Arabidopsis thaliana: one gene and its partners. The protein of the gene in region 1 interacts with the protein of each later gene in a pairwise test. Each region holds a gene or a part of one and is shown in the gene's direction. Other genes may lie near its edges. The genes, in order: AT5G51160, UMAMIT27, AT5G11680 and ARGOS.

Region 1 (4,015 bases):
AGTTGCAAGGCCTGTCTACCAAGCTGTAAGAGAGTGCTGCAGAGGTGGTCCAATTGATGTAGCCTCCTTGTCAGCCTATATTTCTAGTAAAAACGAAGCAAGCGACGTGAAGGTGGAAGAGTTTGCTTCCATCATTCCCTGTGCAGCTATTCATCCAAACACTAACTCGTGTCTGGCCCAAAATGCTAATGCAATGTCAGCTACATTCAAGAAAACATTTCCATTATATTTCTCCCTGACTTTTGTCCCATATGTTGTTCTACACCTACAAAAAGTAAGACTGTCCCTCAATATTTGCCGTTTCAGTCTTTTAGATTCCTATGGTTTATGCATTAGTCAGACATGATATGTAGTTTCTGATGCCATCCTACACTTTCATTTCAGTTCATGGCTTCTCCTTACCGGACATCTTGGCTTGCAATCAGAGATTCAGTTAGATCGACGTCCTTCTTGTCTGCTTTTGTTGGGATTTTTCAGGTAGCTGGTTTTTACATTTGATTTGTGTCCCCTCATTTCATACAATTCACATAGTTTCCTAAAACCATTCCCAAATGTATGTGCCTTCATCCCATTTGCATTAGGCTTTCATATGTGCCCATAGAAAAGTTGCAACCAAAGACCACAAGCTCGTTTATTGGTTTGCGGGTGGTGCAGCAGCCCTCTCAGTTATGCTGGAGAAGAAACCGAGACGCTCTGAGCTTGCTCTATATGTTCTTCCCCGAGCAGGAGATTCTCTGTGGGAGATACTTGTTAATCGCCACCTTCTTCCCGACATTAAAAATGCTGAGGTACAATACAATTACAAACCACTTTTGTTATTTCCAACTTTCTTCCCCTTTGAGCAATGGAACTGATGTTTTATACAATTAATGGAAACAGGTGGCTTTATTCTGTGGATGCATGGGAGGAATAATGTACTACCTCGAATATGAACCTGATACAATGGCTCCGTTTCTGAGGGGACTCATCCGTCGGTTTCTTGCTAGCCAAATAAGCAATCCTAGCAGCAAATACCCTCATAGTTCGTCCTATTCTTATCTCCAGACCCTAGATGCATTGAAGAAACCGAAAACGCAGGAGAGCCGAGAAGGCGAAACTCCGAAAGCCGAAGAAAAGTATAACTTGGAAGCAATTCCCGGTCTTTAGAAGTATAAGCAGAAGCTGTCTGATACTATATTAGCACCTGACGTTGAAATTGAGCAAACCAAAAAGGACCCTTTACGGAATCATGATTTTGATTGTGTTTCAGGAAGTTAATGTGAAACTTTCCAGAAAGAAAGGGTTCCTCCACACAGAAAACTTAAGAGATTGAAGTGATTCATAGGATTTAGGAGCCTGTTTTTTATTTTCTTTCACGTAATAACAACAACTCCACTGTCTCTTCTTTATTTCAATGAGAAGTAGCAGAATGAAGAAGATTTATGGCAAGCGAGTCAAGCTGTCTTGATTTGTTAACACCAACACAGTGTTGAAACTTGAAACAGATCACTAGATATATTCCTTTTTGTCTTGTTATAATCTTGATCTATTGCTTAAAAACTCACTTCAAGAAAAACACAGTTTTGTTTAGTTTCCTAATGCAAGTTCTCTCAACCGATGGAAAAAAAGTCAATTCGTCTAAGATTTGACTCTCATACCCAAAAACTATTGTATTACTCAAATTGTTGAAATTTCATCTGTATTGGTCGGAGCGGATATGAATTTGCACATACGATGATCTCAGGGTCAGAAAATCAAAAGATAAAGTAATGCAAACAACTGACACTTGTAAGCATTTGTTCCACTTTAAGGAATACTTCATATGCTACAAAGTCAAATGTCAAAGGGAGTTTTGTAATAGAAAATTTCAAACAAGCGTCGTGATGGTACACACCTTCATTGTATATTCAACTCGATCTTCTCTCTCTCTTTCTTCTGCATCATCACCAAAATGGATGCTTTTGAGACTCATTTACCGAAGGAGATCGTCTCTGATCCTCTCTATAACTCCTTCAACCCAAGGAGTGAAGAGTATGTCGTCGCCGGAAAGATTCTCAGGCAGCGGTCAGTCTTTGACTTGGACAAAAACGGGTTTAGCCCTCTTCATGCAGCTGCGGCAGCCGGACAAGTAGAGACTGTGAGGGCAACTTTGGGGGTTGAAAAGAAGCTTTGCCGCTTAAAAGATAGAGATGGAAAGACTCCTCTACATGTGGCAACGATGAGAGGGAAAATCGATGTGATCAGAGAGATTGTAGCGAGCTGTGTTGATTGTTTAGAAGACGAGACCGTACAAGGTCAAACTGCTTTGCATCTTGCTGTTCTGCACCTAGAGATCGAAGCAGTCATAGCCATTGTTGAGTTGATCACAGAGACAAATCGATTTGATGTGTTGAATAAGAAAGATGAACAGGGTAACACTGCTCTTCATCTTGCAACCTGGAGAAAAAATCGCCAGGTACGACGAATTAAGTTGCGGTTAAATAGTTTTCTTCCAGTGGAATCAAACTCTGTTTTTCTTTTGCCTACAGGTGATTGAAGTGTTGGTTCAGGCAATACCAGAAGAATCAAGGTCATTTGAGGTGAATGCTATGAACAAGATGGGTCTATCAGCGATGGATTTGCTGGTTATGTTTCCGAGCGAAGCTGGCGATAGAGAAATCTATGAGAAACTCATCGAAGCTGGAGCTCAGAGAGGGCGAGACATTGGCACTACTAATGTCGAGAGAACCACTTCTACTTCCACATGCCAAGAGAGAACAATGAAGTCCCAAAGCCATAAAGAACTTGTCAAGTACTTCACTTTCAAAAAGCACAGAGACTCACCATCAGAAGCACGTAGCGCATTACTAGTGGTGGCTTCACTAGTCGCCACAGCCACGTTTCAGGCCAGCTTGACCCCACCAGGTGGAACCTGGCAAGATAGCTCAATACCTGCTGTATCCCAGAACACAACGAATGTGAATACTACAAATCAACAAGCTCATACAGCAGGGCAATCTATCATGGGGACCTTCAATGGAGTTGCTTTCACTTTGTTTGTGTTCTTCAACACAATTGGGTTTTCGGTTTCACTGTCTATGCTCAACATTCTCACCCTCGGGTTCCCATTGCGGTTCCAGCTTCAGATCTGTATGATTGCTATGTATTTCTCGCACAACACAACCATGGCCAGCATTGCACCTGATCATGTCAAGCTTTACTGCATTCTCATCACATCCATCCTCGCTGCTACCACCCCGGGTTTGATGAGGTTGCTCGAGAACCCTATTGGTATGCTCGCTCACTTCTTGGACTCCAGGTCACAAAAAATTTGCTCCATGATTTCACTTTCATGTAAACGTTTTGTAACATAATAGTAGCCAGTTCAATATCTACCTTATTTCAAATCACAAGGACTTGTTGTTGCATTGTCCAGAAATCACCAATGTTATTACGAGTGATATTATGATATATGGAGACTTTTTTCTATGAAGAGACATATATTATGGAATACCCAAGAACACAGATCAACTCATCCTTCTATGTCGTTACAAATGCATACCTGATTGGTCTGCAAACACAGAAATTTGAGATTTTCTTATTCATCTGGGAGTTTACATATTTTGTGTGTTTTGTTTCCTATCTTACACTCGATCCCACAAAACTTAGAGGTGAAGATACGATTCTGCACACAACCACCTGCTCTAAGCTTCCTAAGTTCCACGTCAACAGCTCCCTTTAGGGAAGTTCTAATATCACCCAACGCCCAGACCAAGGATATATGCGGCCGCGGATCCTAAAAGAAAAATTGAAGCAGACTCGATGGGATAAGTGTCCATGACGATTTTCATTGGCTAAACAGTAAAATACAATCAAGCTGTAAAGTACTATATAGAAAAGCAAGTGGACCTTGTAGAACTCCGGCAGATTGTGGAGCTTGTAAACTTCATTAACAGCATCAATTTGCTTACTTATCTGAATTAAGGATATGATAATCAGTACAATATCTAACACAAGGTACTGAGTATGCAAAAATCCAACATTCAAGGTTAACTCT
Region 2 (4,398 bases), on another chromosome or scaffold:
AACAAAATATTTTTTTTATTATTTCTTAATTTATGTGAAAAACTTTAGATATGATTTAATATGAAAAGATAGAATATATTATATACCAATCTTGTAAATTTATTCTAGAACTAAGTCAAAACCACTAACTTTTCTTTTGTGACAACTTTTTTATAAAAAAAATTTAACATCATTAGAACCACTAACTCAATTGTTATTATATTTGGTGAATTGATCTAATTAGTAGAAGGAATATATATGTCTGCACTACTGGAGAGAAAATGCCCCGTCCATTATGTTCTAAGCCTTTTCTAGATAACTTACTGAATCTAAAAATAGCATCTGCTTTTTGTCCCTACAAAGTTATATGGACAAACTAAAGGAATGAAAGAGTTCGATATACCCAAATGGGGATAATATAATTTTTTCATCAACTTTAAAAGTTCAAATATAGAGCTAATTATACGCATTTATAATTAACAAAAACGAGATAGTGCAAAACAAGATGGATCCAATGAAAAGACAAAAGAGAATAATTAATGGATCGAATATAATTCAAAATGGGCACAAAACAAATTTGCACGCAAAAAGTTATTGAATGAGAGTTGCAAAATCTCATATAGTACTTATTTACTACATATGATTAGTTTATCTCGTTGAAAAGTTCGTGTTTTTTCCTATTTTGCACCAAATTCAACAAATCCTTGAGTCAGTCCAATTACAATTGAAAGTAAAGAACCCAAACTTGAACCTATACGACCAGACGGAGACGGGCATGCAAGTGTTTAAGTGTCATTAGATTACAAATGTTTAAGTGTCATTAGATTACACGAAGTATAGATTTAGATATACCAACTAGCTCGGGTTTGCATGACTTATTTTTTCTCACTAAACTCAGTTACATCATCTCTCCGACTCTCTTTTATGAAAATCATTTTGCTAATTAATAAGGTGCGCGGCAGATAACACGCATGATAAAGCCAATGTATCGGTTTCTCATTTACTCATATAACGTATAAAATGGAAAAGCTAATTCATCGGCGCCTCATGAAACGTGTGATAAAGCCAATGTATCGGTTCTCATTTCTACTATATAATAAATAAATAAATATAACAGTAAATATACACATATTGACCGGAAAAAAAAAAGATTGTTACCGCATGAGCAGTTATATTTGTGACGACTTCTTAAACTTAAGTATCCTACTAATTTTGTTCTTTCATTAGTTAATAATATGCTCGGGTTTGTAGTAGTGCTTTGTTCTTCACAAACGCTTATCCTATATAAAAAGAAAGTTTTTTTAGACCAGAAAAGTAAATAAAATTAAGCTAGTTGTGTGTAGGAACATTCAACTTGTTCAAATATTTGAACTATTTTGTAATTTATAATTTTACATAATGTGGAACAAGATTCTAATATTATTTAAATTGAACTTGACAGCACTAAGTTTTTTATTTATTTATTTTTGATAGAAAGACCACTAAGTTAATATAATAGAGCAATAATTCAGGGGTTTTTTCTATTAAAATGACAGAACCCAAACACAGTACTCTTTCTTATAAGTTATAAATATGGGAAGGGTGGTTGCCAAACTCAAAGTACTTTGGGTCTTAACTCTTTCTAACACACAAACTCACATAGAATTCAAGAAAGAGAGAACGAGGGAGAGATGGGTGAGGATATGCGAGGAGTGAAAGTAGTCTCAAAATGGCCACCGATGATAGTTATGGTGACATCACAAGTAGCGATGGGTTCGGTGAATGCACTTGTGAAGAAAGCTCTTGATGTTGGTGTGAACCATATGATCATTGGTGCTTATCGAATGGCTATTTCCTCTTTCATTCTGGTTCCTATCGCCTATTTTTTGGAAAGGTTTATTGATATTTTGATGAAAATAGTTGAGTTATATATTTTTCTTATGCAAAATTTTCAAAAATTTGATTATATCAAAATAGTTTTTTCATATTTACATAATTAACAACATTTACTACAATTGAAGATTGTCAGAATGCTCTATTATAACATGTAAATAAACACCACTACATGTTACTAATATATGAAGTAGATTGATATTTTCTTTCCCCTAAAGTTTATGTCTTATTGTTAACAGGAAAATAATACCGAAAATAACGTTTAGGCTAATGGTCGATCATTTCATCAGTGGTTTGCTCGGGTTTGTCTTCTCACAATTTCTTATGTTCTTTTGTCGTCCATTTTCCATTTTCCTTTTCCATTATACATTGATTGTTTCCACAGAAGAAAGATTTTCTTTCAAGTGAGCATAAAATCTTCATAAGCTAGCTAAATTGTTTTTAATCTTAGCTTAGTTTTGGGTTTAAATTTGCAGGGCGAGTTTGATGCAATTTTTCTATTTGCTTGGTCTGTCCTACACGTCAGCAACTGTTGCGTGTGCTTTGGTAAGCTTGATGCCTGCAATCACCTTTGCTTTCGCTCTTATTTTGAGGTAATTATGGAACCATCTAACTTCTTTATCATTAAAATAAGTACTGTATTTACTATTACTATGCAATGGGTTCATGCAGGATTTATTCGTATTTGTTATGTATACAGTGCATATAATTTCTTTTGTTTTTTCATCAAGCATATTATACTTCTATATATAGAAATACTCAAAAGAACCTTACTCATAAATTATCTCAAATTTATCATCTAAAAGGTTATATTACTTTTCAGAACTGAGAAGATAAAAGATCTAAAGACCCAAGCAGGAATGATAAAAGTGATGGGAACTCTAATATGTATAAGTGGAGCTTTGTTCTTAACATTTTACAAAGGCCCTCATATATCAAACTCTCACTCTCACCTAGAGGCTCTTCCTCACAACAACAGCGATCACAACACCAAGAATTGGCTTCTTGGATGTCTCTACTTAGTCATAGGAATCGTGTTGCTATCTCTATGGATATTGTTTCAAGGGACTTTAAGCATCAAGTATCCTTGCAAATTCTCAAGCACTTGTCTCATGTCAATTTTCGCAGCTTTTCAATGTGCTCTATTGAGTCTTTACAAGAGTAGAGACCTTAAACATTGGATCATCGACGATGGATTTGTGATTGGTGTCATAATATATGCTGTAAGTTATAATACTATATTATCAGAAATCTTAACATTTTTATAAATTATAATGTAGTATATATGTAAATAATTAAATAAATTTTGGGGTTTACCTAATATTACCTTATTACTATACACGTATTATAGGGAGTGATAGGACAAGCAATGTCGACTGTAGCAGCGACATGGGGAATAAACAGATTAGGAGCTGTTTTCGCATCAGCAATTATGCCAGTTTCTCTCATATCGGCTACTCTATTCGATTTCCTTATCTTACACACTCCTTTATACCTCGGAAGGTGCTCTCTTCGATCATCTCTATGAAATTTTTTGTATAGCTTTATAGATGTTAATGTATTAGGTTCATGCTCGTATTACTAATTACAATTTATTTTGTAACTTTTGCTATACAGTGTGATTGGATCAGTAGGGACAATAATAGGTCTCTACGTGTTCTTGTGGGGTAAGAACAAAGAAACGGAAGCAGACATAACTACATTGTCTTCTCGGATGAACAACGAAGATCAACGAGTCTAGGTCGCCCATTTAATCAAATAATATTGTTGTCATAGAAAGATTCATATGGCTTCATTGTCGTAAATTAGTATTTACTACTGAATACATTTACCGTAAAGACCAGTCATAAATATTTAGATTTAAATTGTGCAAGCACACTCACGTTAAAGACCAGTCATAAATATTCAGATTCAAATTGTGCAAGCAGTTTGTATAATTCATACTTTTCGTTTGCAGATTTATAATTTCGTAAAGAGATAACAAAACAGATTTGTTATAATATTCAAAACTAACCAATATAAAGCATATATGATATATCAAAACATTTCACAACAGATCTGTTAAAAGAGCCTCGTAATATTGTTTTTAGTTTCAAAAGCTCTGTTTCTTGGATTATTTTCGTGCTGATTTTAAATGTGTTGCGTTTTGAGTTTGTAGCCTGTTGCTAAAACAGTAAGAATTTAAGGTCTAGAAAAAATAAAGACCAATTGTAATTAGTACTACTGTATATATATTATGCACTACTGGAGTGAAAATGCCCCGTCCATTTTTTCTAAGCCTTACCTTAATCTAGAATAGCATCTGCTTTTTGTCCCTACAAAGTTCGACGGACAAAATAAAGGAAGGCAAAATTTCGATACCCATATTGGGGAGAAACAACTATATACTAATACAGTATAATTTTTTTCATTAACTTCTATATTGAAATGTATAACAATTATTATGTGCATTATAAATAACAAAAACGAGGTACTGCATGGATCCAGTGAAAGGACAGAGCGTAAAAGGGATCGAATCCAAATTGGGAACAATAAAATGGAGAATTA
Region 3 (4,484 bases), about 17 Mb from region 1:
TGTTGAAACTTTTTCAAACAGGCAATCAAGCCAACCGTTCTCATTGGAACATCCGGTGTGGGTCAGACTTTCACAAAAGAAGTTGTCGAGGCCATGGCTACCAACAACGAGGTTTCTTCTTGTTCTTACTCTCTGCTTTTTCAGAAAACAAGGTATTTATGCTATTTTTCTAATGCTGGTCTTGGTGTTGGCTTATAGAAACCGTTGATTCTTGCTCTCTCAAACCCTACTTCTCAAGCTGAGTGTACTGCTGAACAGGCTTACACATGGACCAAGGTATAATATTGTCTCATATGACATCTAAATGTGATTCATGTCCTCACTCCTGATTATACAACAAAATTATAATTTGGTTTTCATGCTGCTCCTCGAATCTAATCATATATTGTGCTTAAAAAAAGGGTCGTGCAATCTTTGGAAGTGGAAGCCCATTTGATCCTGTTGTGTACGATGGCAAAACCTACTTGCCTGGCCAGGTTCGTGCTATTTCAACAACTTCTTCTCTCTCAACTTTGTACATCTGACAATCTTAGAGCTCACATCATATTTCCACTATCCTACTTAACTTCAGGCAAACAATTGCTACATTTTCCCTGGTCTGGGTCTTGGTTTGATCATGTCTGGGGCAATTCGTGTCCGTGATGACATGCTCCTCGCAGCTTGTAAGTAAAAATAAACTTCAGAAAATCAAACATGGATACTGATAAAGACACTTAAAGATTCTCAATGTCATCTCTCTCTCATGTTTTCAACAGCTGAAGCATTGGCCGCACAAGTGACAGAAGAGCATTACGCCAATGGTCTGATCTACCCGCCATTCTCAAACATCAGAGAGATCTCTGCTAACATTGCAGCCTGTGTCGCCGCCAAAACCTATGACCTCGGTTAGTTGAATGAAACTGTCTTAACTCTTTTAATGAGACTGTCTGAACTCTCTAATCTCAAGTTCTAAAATCGATGTATTGTGGTGTAGGATTGGCGTCGAACCTGCCACGTGCAAAGGATCTTGTCAAGTTTGCAGAGAGCAGCATGTACAGCCCTGTGTACAGAAACTACCGTTAAAAAAGTTTTGTTGAAGAAACCTGCAGATTATACTATTCACAACCCTTGATAGTTTCTTAAGGCTTGTATTTAAGTTTTTTGTTTGTTTGTTTGTTGTTTGTTTTCTCTTCTACATTATGATGCTGTTTGTGAACTCTCTCTCTGTCTTTGCTGATAAATAATAAATTGTTACTAATATAATCTACAAATCATTATTGTCTCAAAGTTACACTTTCCATCCCACATCACAAAATCGATCAACTTGTCTTGGAAGGGAATAATATGCTTTTTTCTGCCACTTGTTGTATCTTATTGGTTGTTTTATTAAAATGGTATAATTGTTGCAGAATTAAAGAACTTGTATCATTATTTTGAAGAGTTTATCAAAAGTTTCATATAGATAATAGGACTATAGAAGCATAGCTGAATACTCTTTTGAAAGTGGTTTCTAAATTGTACTGAGCAAAATGTTCTAAAAACAACAAAACTCCTAATCTTAAGCTAATGATTTTGGCATTTTAGGTAACTACTTGTTATAAATAGCTAAAACAATAACAAGAATCTCTAAAACTCGTCTTCACGTTTTGGTTAAAATCGAAAGCTCAAACAATCCAAACCAAAACTAAACCGAAACAAGATGTCAAAAAAATAAATAAACACCTAAACCGAAACCAAAGTTAAAACAACTGAAAATGGGCTGAACGGTCCCTTTAATCTGAGATGTAATAAGGCCCAAATAGTAACTGTAGATGGGGACAATTGTAACGAAATCAAATTGCGGGCGAAAATCGAACTAAAGAAATAAGTAGAGGGACGAATAAAATGGTTAGAAGGTTTTAAGAATAAACCGCGTCGCGTCTCTTTTCTGGAAAAAACGAGAAACTGTGATCTTGGCCCTTTTATTACCCCTATCCTCTTCTTCTTCAATCTCTCCGATCAAAATCCTTTTAAGCTCTGTAGACCCAGGTATGTTCCTTCAGCTTTTCTATTCGCGAGAAAATTACGAGTAAAGGATTGCTTGAAATTGAACTTGGATCGTTCTGTTACTGCTTTCTTATTGCTATCAGATTTTGATTCTCTAAGGAATTAGATATTTTCTTTGTTGATTGATTTGTTTTGAACACGTATTATTAATCCTAGTCTTTGTTTCTACATTATAGGAACGTTTCGATTTGAATTAGCTAAAAACCTCAATTTTATTTGCTCTTTTGCATATCTGAAATTGGAAGCTGATGATATGTGGATGTTAATTGGCTCTAGTTACTTGGATCTGTGAATAATTATTTGCTAATTTGGAGCATGTTCCTTTGAATTATCTTCTGATTGTCTAAGTATATTTGGAAATGTGTTTATATTCTCATTTGTGTGATCAGGTTACGCAGAGAAGAAGAACAGAACAAGGAATTATATAATCATTGGCTTGATCAATCTGAATTGCAGTTCATGGCGCTAAACCCTCAATTACTACCCAATGGGATGCCTGTTCCCTTTGTTAATGAAATGTTCGTCCTAGTCCGAGATGGTGTTGAGTTTGAAGTCGACAAGATCCCTGGGTTCGTGTTCCCTTCTCTCGTCACGCATGTTTTGGATCTCCTTAAGTGGTTTATTGATTTGATGATTATTGTTGGTCTCCATTTTAGTACCGTTTTGAGTCGGTTTAGATCCACTCATCTAGCATATGAACCATTAAGTTTACTTGTAAATAAGATAAGTCTCAGAAGTGAACAGACATATGAGCTCTGGGCTTTAAACACTTCCCTGATGTTCTTTCTTGTTGTATGATCCAGAGGGCATGGAGGTCATGTTAAGGCCAAGGGGGTGATTTACTTGTCTAATATACGGATGGTCTTTGTTTCAAGCAAGCCTGTTGACAACTTTGTTGCTTTTGACATGCCCCTGGTACAGTAACTTTATCTTATTTTTGTCTCTGATTTAGTTAATACATGGCACAAGTGTAGCTCTGTTAAATTTGGTTATGGAACTACATGCTACATATTAGCTTATGGATTATATGTTACTCTGTAGCTTTACATCCATGCCGAGAAATTTAATCAGCCAATATTTCACTGCAACAATATTGCTGGACAAGTGGAGCCTGTAAGTACAAACTTTCATGGAGAATTTATAGTTTCTTTCCTTGTAAGGAAACTATACATATTTACTTATTGGCATGTAACAAAATTTCCAGGTGGTGCCAGAAAATGAGCATAGAGCTCTATATTCAACACACAGTTTCAAGATCCTATTTAAGGAAGGTGGTTGTGGGACATTTGTTCCTCTCTTCTTGAATCTCATATCATCAGTGAGACAATACAACAGACAAATGCAACAAGCAGCAGAAGCAGCAGCGGCAGCTCCTCATGTTGATCCTCTTCAAGCCGCTCAGACACCTGTGGACGAAATGATGAGACATGCGTAAGTCCCATCAGAAATCAATCGGAAAGTTTTTTGATAGTAGTAAAAGCTGTTGTTCCTCATAAAATCTTGTGTGGTCGTCATTGTGTATGTGCAGGTACGTGGACCCTAATGATCCAACGAGGATATATCTGCAACAGCCATCAGGGGAATCTCAGTTGAGGCGTAGAGCTTACCATTCGGGTGCGGCGGAACATTGAGATACACGGAAAAAAAAAATACAAAGGCTATGAATACAGAAACAGCAACAGATTAGTGTTGCTAATAAGCAAAACGTGTTGTTTGTTTGTTTAAAGTTGAAAACTAAAAGTCTAAAACCATCTGTGTAAAGAAAGATGAGACTTGTTTGGTGTGTGGATGTATCTGGTAAAATTGGAGTCGTAATAATCATAAGTTTGGTTCATATATTGAACAAAATGTGGGTCGAAAACCCTGCCGGTTCGCCTGAACCATGAAAAGTCGGATTTGGCTGATCCGCACGCTCAATTTTCTTCAGCTAAATCGCGAATACTTGAGCTTGTAGTAAGTCGTGGCCACTAGTGGGACACACAAAACCACAAAACATATATTTTGCAAGCTAAAACCCAATGGACTAAGATTTGAGGTTCAGGGTTGGACCATAAAATTTGGAATGGATAATCGGATACTTTAGGTTGGGTTGGTAGTTTTCAATATTGAAATTGGGTTTTTGGACCTTTCCTTAGTTTTTGATTTAAAACAAAATTGTAAAAGAAAATGAAAATACGAAGGTGGCATTCTAGCTTTATTTTCCAGAGAAAGTGGCTTTCCAGCCATTTATTAAAAAAAACAAAGACCAGGGTGTTTTTTTTCTGACAAAACAAATTGTAACACTCACTAGGCATAGCATTCTAGTTAGTTCTGCAGAAATTTATAGCGACACTGGTCCAAATTAGGAGGAGCGAGAGCGAAGGTACGAGTGAGGATTTACAATTGTCGATCGTTTTCACCTAGAAACCCTAATTTCGGGGGCTCGCACGCCCTCTCTGATTAGAAGCGACTTCATTATC
Region 4 (3,222 bases), on another chromosome or scaffold:
AATTAAATTAGAAGTAGGGTATATAAAACAAGAAGAAGCAATATTTAAACATGACTGACTTATTAGTAAGACAGAGGGAATAATATTATGATAATACTTTTTTTTCTTGAACTTTTTGATACAGGTCCACTGGACACCAATCTAAATGTGTGCGGTGTTCAAGGCAATAATCATGCATGGGTTGCCATATATACACACCTACATCTTAACTTTCCACCATTATTTACTCATCTAGTCTTCAATAAACAAATTCCATTACTAATTAAAAACGTACAAATAGAGATGTTTAATCGTAATACTGTATATCTATCCAAGAACAAACACACAAGTGAACTGAATTTTAAACTGATTAATTCTTTTGTTTCCAAAGAACTTAAAAGGAAGTACTTTTATTTAAATAAAAAATAAATCTTAAACCGCACCAAATAAGTTTTGGTTACTAGTGTATACATTCAGTGAACATTTTTATGAACCCATATTTTAGTAAAAGTATTCTCTTGATTGTAGAGACAAACACTAAACACAAATAAATTGATTTTTTTAGTTGAGCTTATGCTGAGAAGATCCATTTGACAATTTTCTTTCCTTTTTTTGGTCAACGATTCAAGGAGATCCATTTTCTCATCCCTAAATATACGATTTTCGTATCTGTAGAGTAGGAGTAGAAACTAGCGGATCTTTCGATATAAACATTCTAAATTATTAATTTAGGGTTTGTCATCCATGCAAAAAACTTTGTTGGTACACGTCAAATAGTTTAATATCTGAAGCTGCAGTCTTCGTATATTGTTAATTTGGCCTAATTAAAGTAATGCTGCACAATTAATGTGGATAACTAGTGTTGTAGTATTGGTAATCTATCAATTCTCCCAAACTACTCATCGGCTTTTTTGTATCTAAAGGCCAGGAAAAAAACTAATAAAACCACTTGACGTTGTTTCTAAAGGAAATGGCCTATATGTTTCTCAATTCATTGAACCATGAATTATATTTATGGGATTAACTATATTTATATATTAAAAGTAACAAGTGATTTCCGACTGAGTTACTAGCGAAGTCTATTTGCTTTAATTCATCATTCTGTGAGAATTCATCCTCTGGCGATATAAACATCTTGGCTTTATTAAAAACCATCCTCTCATCAAGACTTCACATGCAAAGCGTGTTGTCACGTTACTATGTCCGATCTCCATATACACGTAAATATATAAAAATAGCATCGTGAATTAATTTGAAAAACATTCCTAGCTATTTAACTTGGCTTTATATATAGAAATATGAGAGCATATACATATATTGGCCCAACATTTCCTGGTAGAACAAGCGCATTCACCATATGAAGTGCTTCGAGAAGAACAACACTATGGGTCCTTATTTATCCATAAACATCGACAAAATTATTGGTAGGTACGTTAATAAAAATAATTTCCTCATCGCATCAAATATTTGATTATAAAATTTTAAAAATCAACCTGTATATTAATAACTGGATGATTCAAAATAAACTAGAAAATTATTTTCTTAAAAATTTATAGAATGGTAAAAAGATGGTTTTAAAACTCATTTATTTAAATACTACTTACATATTCAGATCAGAGGAGATTGTAGCTTACGTCATATGTTATATAAGTAAAAGAAATGGTAGAAAAAGTAAGAGAAAAGAAGACCAGGGGAGAAGAACCTTGTGATTGTGGAGGAAGACTAGGCCACACGAAATTCAAATCTTTCAAATTCAGCAACTTGCTTCTCCTCACATTTGTCAGCCCCTTTATATAATAAACGTTCCTCTTTTTCGTCTTTTCAACATATCAGAAAATCCCTAAATTCACTGAACCCTCTTCTCTCTCTTTCTCCCCCCATATCTTCTGATTCTCCTCCAACTCCTTTATTAATAAATTCTCCTCTTTCATTGCTACTTGTCTTCCTCATTTCCCTACTAGTACTTGTTTCACACAGTTTCTTGATCCAACCAAAACCAATACACAAAGCTTCTCAAACTCCTTCACCTCAAAGCTTCTTCCTTTACATCTGAATCGTTGAGTTAACTCGGATTTGTTCTGCATCCTCTGTTTCTGAATCGTGGGCCATCCTTATTTTGTCTCGAATTCTTCACCAATTGCTTCGATCAAGCTGCATTGGTTAACCAGTTGCCCTAAAGATCAGATCTTTGAGCAAAATTTTGTCACTGATCTTCTAAATCCAAACCAGACACAGCAAAACAACCTCTGTAGATGATTCGAGAAATCTCAAACTTACAAAAAGATATTATAAACATTCAAGACAGTTATTCGAACAACCGAGTCATGGACGTCGGAAGAAACAACCGGAAAAACATGAGCTTTCGAAGTTCGCCGGAGAAAAGCAAGCAAGAGTTACGGCGGAGTTTCTCGGCGCAGAAAAGGATGATGATCCCGGCGAATTATTTCAGTTTAGAGTCTCTGTTCCTATTGGTTGGTCTAACGGCATCTCTGTTAATACTTCCGTTAGTTTTGCCGCCGTTACCTCCGCCTCCGTTTATGCTGCTATTGGTTCCCATTGGGATTATGGTTTTACTCGTCGTTCTTGCCTTCATGCCTTCTTCTCATTCTAATGCTAATACAGATGTAACTTGCAATTTCATGTAAATCTGAAATTTATTATATGATGATCTTAATTAATCTTAGGGTTCTTAATCCAATGAAATTGATATACAATATAAATGTAAGTTATAAATATTACATTAAATTATCATAATATATATATGTGAGAATACTTCAACGCACAATAAGAGAAATGGAGGAGAAGAGACTGACATAATATAGAAGCATCATAAGAAGAAATTATACAAAAAAAAAAAAAAAACCTCACTTCGTCATCTCAAACCCAAATCCCAATATCCGTTAATTTAAATCGTAGTATTTATTTGCTTATTTTCAACTATTCGTAGAAATTAGAAAACCAGTGAAGCCCAAAAGCAGAATCCATTTGTTTCAATCGAAAATGGCGGTAAGGTGATGCTCCAAAACCGCCATAAGGTTACGAGTCTGGCTTACTTCCACAACTGCAACAGCACAGCCTTGAAGCTGTCTCACTGCTTCTACAAGCTGTCCTCTTAGCCTCTGAGACAGTAACCGACCGTCCGCTTTCATGCACTCTCTGTACAGCGGCATGTACGCTATTGCTACTCTTAGCGGTGCAGGAAGGTCTCTTAAGGATATCGCTGACTCCCCTTTTTTCAAAACT

The links.
Region 2: the proteins of AT5G51160 (region 1) and UMAMIT27 interact in a protein complementation assay, tested with the Arabidopsis thaliana proteins (one large-scale study listed by BioGRID).
Region 3: the proteins of AT5G51160 (region 1) and AT5G11680 interact in a protein complementation assay, tested with the Arabidopsis thaliana proteins (one large-scale study listed by BioGRID).
Region 4: the proteins of AT5G51160 (region 1) and ARGOS interact in a protein complementation assay, tested with the Arabidopsis thaliana proteins (one large-scale study listed by BioGRID).

Annotation. Positions count from the first base shown.
Region 1 is NC_003076.8:20,790,350-20,794,364, forward strand, and holds AT5G51160 (Ankyrin repeat family protein), read left to right. Parts: upstream 1-1,723; 5' UTR 1,724-1,930; coding exon 1,931-2,434; intron 2,435-2,507; coding exon 2,508-3,332; 3' UTR 3,333-3,492; downstream 3,493-4,015. Other genes in the region: AT5G51150 (Mitochondrial import inner membrane translocase subunit Tim17/Tim22/Tim23 family protein), read left to right, coding at 1-274, 385-477, 582-788, 880-1,146; AT5G51170 (U6 snRNA phosphodiesterase-like protein), read right to left, coding at 3,557-3,754, 3,868-3,933.
Region 2 is NC_003070.9:3,851,668-3,856,065, forward strand, and holds UMAMIT27 (nodulin MtN21 /EamA-like transporter family protein), read left to right. Parts: upstream 1-1,516; 5' UTR 1,517-1,649; coding exon 1,650-1,852; intron 1,853-2,090; coding exon 2,091-2,153; exon of another isoform or gene 2,154-2,327; coding exon 2,328-2,444; intron 2,445-2,674; coding exon 2,675-3,074; intron 3,075-3,202; coding exon 3,203-3,354; coding exon of another isoform or gene 3,355-3,379; exon of another isoform or gene 3,380-3,468; coding exon 3,469-3,592; 3' UTR 3,593-3,840; downstream 3,841-4,398.
Region 3 is NC_003076.8:3,756,979-3,761,462, forward strand, and holds AT5G11680 (classical AGP protein), read left to right. Parts: upstream 1-1,830; 5' UTR 1,831-2,007; intron 2,008-2,414; 5' UTR 2,415-2,484; coding exon 2,485-2,594; intron 2,595-2,828; coding exon 2,829-2,940; intron 2,941-3,066; coding exon 3,067-3,138; intron 3,139-3,229; coding exon 3,230-3,456; intron 3,457-3,553; coding exon 3,554-3,656; 3' UTR 3,657-3,935; downstream 3,936-4,484. Other genes in the region: NADP-ME2 (NADP-malic enzyme 2), read left to right, coding at 22-111, 199-276, 402-476, 572-662, 756-884, 974-1,062.
Region 4 is NC_003074.8:22,127,810-22,131,031, forward strand, and holds ARGOS (auxin-regulated gene involved in organ size), read left to right. Parts: upstream 1-1,695; 5' UTR 1,696-2,231; coding exon 2,232-2,624; 3' UTR 2,625-2,663; downstream 2,664-3,222. Other genes in the region: AT3G59910 (Ankyrin repeat family protein), read right to left, coding at 2,970-3,222. UniProt on the Arabidopsis thaliana protein: Promotes cell proliferation-dependent organ growth. Takes part in the AXR1-dependent auxin signaling pathway that requires ANT during organogenesis.